Linked DNA regions of Macaca fascicularis. The protein of the gene in region 1 purifies or fractionates together with the protein of each later gene. This does not show direct contact. Links are inferred from orthologs where the notes say so. Each region holds a gene or a part of one and is shown on either strand. Other genes may lie near its edges. The genes, in order: RND3 and PLEKHG5.

The links.
Region 2: the proteins of RND3 (region 1) and PLEKHG5 purify together in Homo sapiens (affinity purification with western blotting; 3 studies listed by BioGRID and IntAct, with this or other methods). This does not show direct contact. The link is inferred for Macaca fascicularis from reciprocal best matches to the Homo sapiens genes RND3 and PLEKHG5.

Annotation. Positions count from the first base shown.
Region 1 is NC_088386.1:46,025,100-46,028,909, forward strand, and holds part of RND3 (rho-related GTP-binding protein RhoE), read right to left. Parts: intron 774-3,810; coding exon 664-773; intron 1-663. UniProt on the Homo sapiens protein: Binds GTP but lacks intrinsic GTPase activity and is resistant to Rho-specific GTPase-activating proteins.
Region 2 is NC_088375.1:228,398,518-228,402,327, forward strand, and holds part of PLEKHG5 (pleckstrin homology domain-containing family G member 5), read left to right. Parts: intron 1-62; coding exon 63-168; intron 169-576; coding exon 577-637; intron 638-868; coding exon 869-960; intron 961-1,429; coding exon 1,430-1,566; intron 1,567-1,825; coding exon 1,826-2,016; intron 2,017-2,569; coding exon 2,570-2,773; intron 2,774-2,849; coding exon 2,850-3,035; intron 3,036-3,401; coding exon 3,402-3,497; intron 3,498-3,810. UniProt on the Homo sapiens protein: Functions as a guanine exchange factor (GEF) for RAB26 and thus regulates autophagy of synaptic vesicles in axon terminal of motoneurons. Involved in the control of neuronal cell differentiation.

The DNA.
Region 1 (3,810 bases):
TCTGGTTCCTTCCATCCATAGCTTCCTTAGTTAGGTTCCTTCTTCACCTACAGAACCTGACTAACCTTTGCCTCCATAAACTATGTGTACGTTATAATATATAACATGTTTACAAGCCCTGCTTCTACATTACTAGAAAGATAACTGATCATAATTACTAGACAGATACCTGATCATCAGACAATTCACATTGGACACATCCCTATTCCTCCTATACTAGTTCCATTTCTGTTTCTAATACCATAACTAAAACACAGCTTATTAAAATAGCCATTATTGCATTCCTTTCACTAACTGACTTGAGGTCAAATGTAACTCTGTAAGCTAAGGTGCAATCGGTTGAGTCACTGAAAGAAGGAAGGAAGACATGAATATGATAGTAATCAAATATAACTGTTTTCAGCTGTACCATTTTCTCCCGAAAGACAAACACGCAGGCCCTTGAAAGGTATTCTGTTTCAGAGCTTCATGAAATAAAATTTCAAGCATGTTCATCATCAAAAAGTGGAAACCCCATTTTGGTGTGAAAGGGTTCTTTCTAGTGTTTAATTACAAATTGTAAGGCAGGGAATTGACTAGAGTCTTTGAGTTCCCCAGCAATCCCCATGTTTCTATTTATATATCACCTAGTACTGAAGTGTGTCATCATTCCCCAGCACTTGCCTTTTTGAGGACACTGTCCAGGGTCTCTGGTCTACTGATGTCAAAGCAAATCAGCACGGCATCCGAATCAGGGTAAGAGAGGGGGCGGACATTGTCATAGTAAGGAGAACCTGAGAAGAAACAAAGATACACAGATTTTCAGATGAGAGTCCCCTTGTCTGTCATGCATTAACTCTACCCTTTCGGGCTAAGTCCTTTGACTGTCACATCATGACCCAACCCCCACTTCCCCTCATTCTTGGAAAAGAATTTAAACAGACACACAAAAGCCTGCTTGGAAGTATATGATGAATGAAACCTCACATGTATCTGACATAAATTCAAGAGGAGGGCCTGGATCTTAAGGTGAAATCTGTATGGTTCAAAGACTAGGGCCTGAAGTTACCTGGGTGAAGTAGGGAAGCACCTGGGGCCAGGTGGTCTTGAGTGCAAACCTGCCTCCACCACTAAAGAGGGAGGGGGCAAGGTAGCTTTGGGACTCTGTGCTTCTGATTCTTCACTCATAAAATGAAGATGCTGACAACATACGTACCTGAGATTAAGTAAACCCAGGCAGTGCCTGGCTTTTAGTAAGGGATCAATACGTATTCACTATGGGTATTATGGTTGTATTACCGCTACTGTTAAAAGCTGAGTGGTAAAAAGAATCAGAAACTGAACTACTTCTTGGGAAAGAGACCTAAACTCAAGATAAATCTGACAGCAGGATGGGGGTGAATGAGGGAGAGCGGAAGAGGGAGGGTTCAACAACTACGCAAAGAGAAACCACAGTGTTACCCCATCTCCAAGTTGTAAGTTTAGATAGGCTATTGACCTTTGAGCTTGCTTATTTCAACTTATTGCCAAACCCTATACAGATTTTCTTCCTGTTACAACTCAGAATGTAATAAATGTCATACAGGATCATGTCACTTTTTTACAGAGTCCCATCTCTGAAGTGATGCTAAGGCATGATCCAAGGATCTTAACCTGAATTAAATCCAGGGTACCCTAAATGTTCAAGGCACCAGCCAATTACTTTAACCACAGAACTCTCTAGTCAATCAAGGAAGTTTTTCTATTTCTTTAAGAATTCCAAAGGATGGGCAATTACATGAGGACAATAGTTATGAAGTGATTGACTAGAAAACTAAATACAGCTTGTTTAAGAAATCGTTTTAGGTATACTGACATTTCCCAAGCATCACATGAAAATGATTTTACTAGGAAATATATACACACGTATGTATCTGACTCCAGAGTAGAAAAAGAAAATCTAAACCACCAAACTCTTTTTAAAAGTCTATTTCAATTTGACATCACTTTCCATTTTGAGCAGAAAAACAGGACATGTTGTCCCCTGATAAATCAAAACCTCAACAGGCAAAGTCAGGAAGAGAGACTTAAAAAGCAGCTTTAAAAAATATCACTGTTTATATTTCTATTAAAACAACATTTGCTTGGAGGCTGTTCTTGTGATCTAAAAGGCACTGCAGTCAGGGGGGCATCACCCTCTATTCACACAGTACACTCTGGGTCCCTGGCATCCGCTGCGGAACCCCAGGCAACAGTGCAGCTTTTTCCCTAGCTGCTTGACGATGGAGAGTGACAACTTCAAGCCACGTGTGTCTGCTAAGCAAGGAAGAAAAGAAAGTTACAAGAATCAGGAAGAAAAATGTGAATAAATAGAGAATTAAGTCAGAGCTGTTCATGAGCTGCAGCAGCTGCCTACCCTCATCTGGAACCAGAACCCTGGCAGAGCAGAGGCTGACAGCTGAAAGATATTTCTCAAAAGCTTAAAGGGTTTAGAGTTTAAAAAGTCAAGTCATTTTAAGTATGAAGGTATATTAGAATGAGGCTGTCTCTGAAAATGACAAGCTGTGGCTGCCTTTTCAGTCGCTGAAAGAACTCTGAGGTGAAGAGAATAATTCACAAATAGTTCACTCATTTGAACATTCGAGAGGCATCAGAAACTAGATGGTTGAACACTATTTACGGCTACATTAGTATTTCTGTATTACCTCTGAGAAGTTCACACTTTTTCAACTAGAACCTTTCCTGTTTCTGTGTCCAAAGTCTAACTCTAGCACAGCGCCTGCTGTAAACATTTGAATGACTCTTTCCAAACAGGGAGTCAAAAAATTCTAGATCATAGAGTGGAGCTCCAAATACTGGACACATAAATGAGAGTTTCCTCTGGTCCTCAAAGTCAGCAAGAGACGACCTGATCCCAGACCCAGGAAGGCAAAGTTGCCAACAGTTAGGATTGTCAGAAACCTAACGAGGCTTCAGAGATCTCTTTTCCCAGATATCACTCACAACACGAAAAACCACTGTCTCCCTGTGGAGAGCTTCCAGTACAAGCAGACCTGGTATCTTTAGAGGACAGTTCCAGGTACCTACCAGCTCCTTTCAGGATACGATCTGTATGATGTGAGAGTACTCACTGCTAATTCCAGATGTAACACTACTCTATGACAATGGAGACCATCTTTTCCAAATACAAAAATTAGGAAACGCGATTGAAGAAATACAAAGAGGATGAAAGAGTTTAATTGAAATTGAGACTGCCAGGAAAATCCTGAGGAATGGTTTCAACATTCAGGTCACCATGTGACTGCTGGGAATACCCCTCCCTTTGTGGACTATGTTTCCCATCCCCCACCCATTTTATGGCCACAAAGGAGATCTGGCTTTGTGCTCAGCCCTGTGTCACCTGCTGGAGACTGCTACCTACTAAAATCCAGCGGGCTGGCTTCTGTGCTTAGTGCATATATCCAAGTATTTGCAAAATTTAGACTCTGGCCTGATTTTAAAATGAAACAGGGTTCTCCAGTTAAACCAGATTCTCAGGGAAGTTTGTATCTGCTTTTGTTTTTACCTGGTTAACAGTACGAGTGAAAATACATATGTAGTGCAAAGGTTTATAAGAAATAAACCACCGTGCTTGTGGAGGTAGACAGGTAATTTTTCAGAGTTTTAACATGATCTAATTTGGGATGCCACTTTGATCCCATTCTATTACTTTTGCTAATGAACAGTGCTGCTTTTAGATCAACACAAGTGTCCAAAGGTACTAGTAAAACTGATTCCCATATTTTTTAGTTATAAGCATAATTTGACTGGCAATGACAAGAGTAATTTATTTAAAATAACAAGAACATTTAT
Region 2 (3,810 bases), on another chromosome or scaffold:
GCGGCCATGCTGCAGGCTAAGGAGGGGCGGGGAGGCACAACCCCCTCCCGCTTTCTCCCAAGGCTCTGTCCTTGCCCGGAACGTGTCCACCCGGTCATGCCCGCCACGCACCAGCCCCGCGGTGGACTTGGAGGAGGAGGATGAAGAGAGCTCTGTGGATGGCAAAGGGTAGGTGAGGGGTGAGTGGGCAGAGAGATACCTGGGGGGCCCCAAGGCTGGGTCTCAGATCAGACATTCAGGACCAGATGCTTTGGTGCCCTCTCCGAGTAAGGCTGACGGGCAGACCTCTCCCCACCCCTGTGGCTGTCCTGACTACGGGAAGAGGCCACCCAGCCTGGGCCAGCGTCCAGGGCGCTTGGGATCCTGGCCCACACCAGACCAGGTACCGTTCGGTGTGACTCCCATGTTGGCCACCAGAGGGCGCACAGCCCCATTCGGGCCTGGCAGGGTTGAATCCACGCGGGTTACCTGTCACCTGGGGTGAGCGAGGGGTGGGGAAGCCACAGGCCCACTCGCTGCCCACGCTGGTGAGGGCCACCCACACCTCCAGCCTCTGCCCTCCCTGCTTCCCTGCAGGGACCGGAAGAGCACAGGCCTGAAACTCTCCAAGAAGAAAGCAAGGAGGAGACACACGGATGTGAGGAGCATCCCCGGGACGGCACATGGGGGCTCCCGACAGCCTGCGCCCTTCCCTGAGCCTGGGCCTCTCTCCGGGACTGGGGTGGGGAGGTCTGCATCCCAGGCTGCAGAGGCCTGGGAGATCGCTGGGGTTCCCTTTCTTGCTGGGGTTCCCATCCCAGACCGGAGGGTGGGGAGGAGGATGGAGAGGAGAAGCTCACAGCTCCCCCCCCCGCCCCCATTCTCTCAGGACCCGAGCAAGGAGTGCTTCACCCTGAAATTTGACCTGAATGTGGATATAGAGACGGAGATCGTCCCAGCCATGAAGAAGAAGTCGCTGGGGTAGGGCTTGGGGGCGCTCAGGATGGAAGTGGGACTGGGAGCAGGGGTGGCCCCATGTCGCAGGTTCCGGGTCTCTGCAGGTGTGACCTGTGTGTCTGTGTGGTGGCCCATAAGCGAGCACATCCCTGCGTGGGCAGACCCGTGTGGGTGTGCACGCCACTGTGAGGGAGTGTGGCGGGGTCTGTGTACTTGTGCGTTTTAATCATGTATGTAGGAGCCAGGCCTGCGTGTGGGTAGGCGTGTGACAGGTCTGCCATGGTGTGCAGATGCGCCTGTGTGAGGACCTCTGCGGGCAGGTGTCTGTGGACCTGCGTGTGATCCCACACGGGCTTCCCTTTTCTGTTGGGAAGGTGGGGGAAGGTGGGGGCAGCTAGGGCTGTGGGTGGGGCAGGGGCTCGTGGGGGCAGGGCCCAAGCTGAAGCGACTGGCTGCCTTGTTCTAACACACACGCCTCCTGTCCTGGGGGCAGGGAGGTGCTGCTGCCTGTATTTGAAAGGAAGGGCATCGCGCTGGGCAAAGTGGACATCTACCTGGACCAGTCCAACACACCCCTGTCCCTCTCCTTCGAGGCCTACAGGTTCGGGGGACACTATCTTCGTGTCAAAGGTGAGCAGCAGCCTGGGCCAAAAGGGGCCGCTGGGGCTGGCGGAGCCTCCTGGAGATGGGCACCTTCCCAGGCTCAGGTTCCCATTGGCTGTGGGCCTGAGCAGCCTCATTACCATACAGGTGTCTCTGCGGGTGCTGCTTGCTGGGGGGAGAGGCGGGGTGGGGGGAGGGCTGGCAGGGCACGGCTGTAGGGGGAGGGCAGGCAGGCCTTGGTGTGGATCCTTCAGGGAGAGAGGACTGGGGCCCCCTCCTCCACCAGACCTGGGTACTGAGGATCTCTCATGGCCCCCACACGCGACCCCAGCCAAGCCTGGAGATGAGGGCAAGGTGGAGCAGGGCGTGAAGGACTCCAAGTCCCTGAGTCTGCCGATCCTGCGGCCAGCTGGGACTGCGCCCCCCGCCCTGGAGCGTGTGGACCCCCAGAGCCGCCGGGAGAGCCTGGACATCTTAGTGAGGAGGGGGGGGGTGTGTCAGGGGAGGAGGTGGGAAGGGCCCCAGGCTGGACCCACAGCCCCTCCTCAGAGGCAGTCACCCTGGGTCTCTCACTGCCCCCTCTTGGGGATTTAATTGCTCCTTCTGGAAAGTGGGGCTGGCTGTGAGAGTAAGGGACCCTCTCTCTCTGGACCTAGCGCAAGGTGAGGGCTTGTATCTGAGACTCTTCTAGTGCCAGCGGGTCAGGGAACCTGTGTGTGCATGTGTGCGTGAGAGAAGTGCCCCGGGCTACAGACCGCCCAGAGCTGTGTTCCAGAGTGCATCTGAGTGTGTGTAACTCTGCGCTTCATGCTTGAAGCTGGGGGACTTGGGGCTGATAGTCTGGGCGTATCTGTGTCTGGACCTTCCAGTCTCCAGACATGTCTGGGTCCCAGGAGAGGGGACACCCCAGGGTAGAGATGCAGAGACCCTCCTCCATCCCAGGCTGGCCTAAGGCCCTGGAAACCCACCTTGGGGTGGGGCCATGGGGGCTGGCAGGGGGTCCCGGCCCTGACCACCCCTCCCTGGTCAGGCCCCTGGCCGCCGCCGTAAGAACATGTCGGAGTTCCTGGGGGAGGCGAGCATCCCTGGGCAGGAGCCCCCCACGCCCTCTAGCTGCTCTTTGCCCAGTGGCAGTAGTGGCAGCACCAGCAGCGGCGACAGCTGGAAGAACCGGGCGGCCAGTCGCTTCAGCGGCTTTTTCAGCTCAGGCCCCAGCACCAGCGCCTTTGGCCGGGTATGTGGCCCCATCTGCCCAGGGTCAGGCAGCTGGCTGGCCGTGACCTCTGACCCTGACCAGGGTATCCTCCCAGGAGGTAGACAAGATGGAGCAGCTGGAGGGCAAGCTGCACACCTACAGCCTCTTCGGGCTGCCTAGGCTGCCCCGGAGGCTGCGCTTCGACCATGACTCCTGGGAGGAGGATGATGAGGACGAGGATGAGGACAATGCCTGCCTGAGGCTGGAGGACAGCTGGCGGGAGCTCATTGATGGGCATGAGGTGAGTGCGGGCCACAGTGCTGCTCCCTCCTTGTCCCAAAAGGAGGACAGCCCTTGGGAGGAGGATCTAGTGATGAGATGTTCTATGGGATGCCCCAAAGAGGCCACTGTTATTATGAGCCCACTTTGGAGACAGAGGCTGGATGAAAATGGTGTGCTGCTTGGCTGTTTCAATGGCAGAGGAGGGCCCAGATCTTGGGTGTCTTGACTGTGATTATTCACGTGGTATCAAGGGTGACCCTGCTCCTCTTGGGACCTCCGTGTCCCCGTTGGGAAGATGAGAAAGCTGCGTGCAGTTTGCTTATCCTCCCTGGCCACCCGAAGGTGCTCCAGGCCTCCTTGTTGACCCGTCCTGCCCTCCCTGTAGAAGCTGACTCGGCGGCAGTGCCACCAGCAAGAGGCAGTGTGGGAGCTGCTGCACACGGAGGCCTCCTACATCAGGAAACTGCGGGTGATCACCAATGTGAGTAGGGGCTGCGCTGGTCCCCGTGGTCACCCTGCCCCCCTCTTTCTGGTCTCTTTCTGACAGCCCTCAGCTGAGTGGGAGCCTTTGCAGAAGGAGCAGGTGCCTGGCAATGAGGTGGGGGCAGGAAAGTCAGACAAGGGCTGTGCCCAGGGAGGAGGTGGCTCCTAGAGGAACCTGGGAGGGGGCTTCAGGCAGGTTTGCCAGGTTCAACTGAATTAGCACAGGTGCGGCTTCATTCTTTCACTTTCGTTCAGTGGCTGTTTCCCAACACTTGCTGTGTGCTGGGTGCCCAGCAGCCCACACCCTGGAC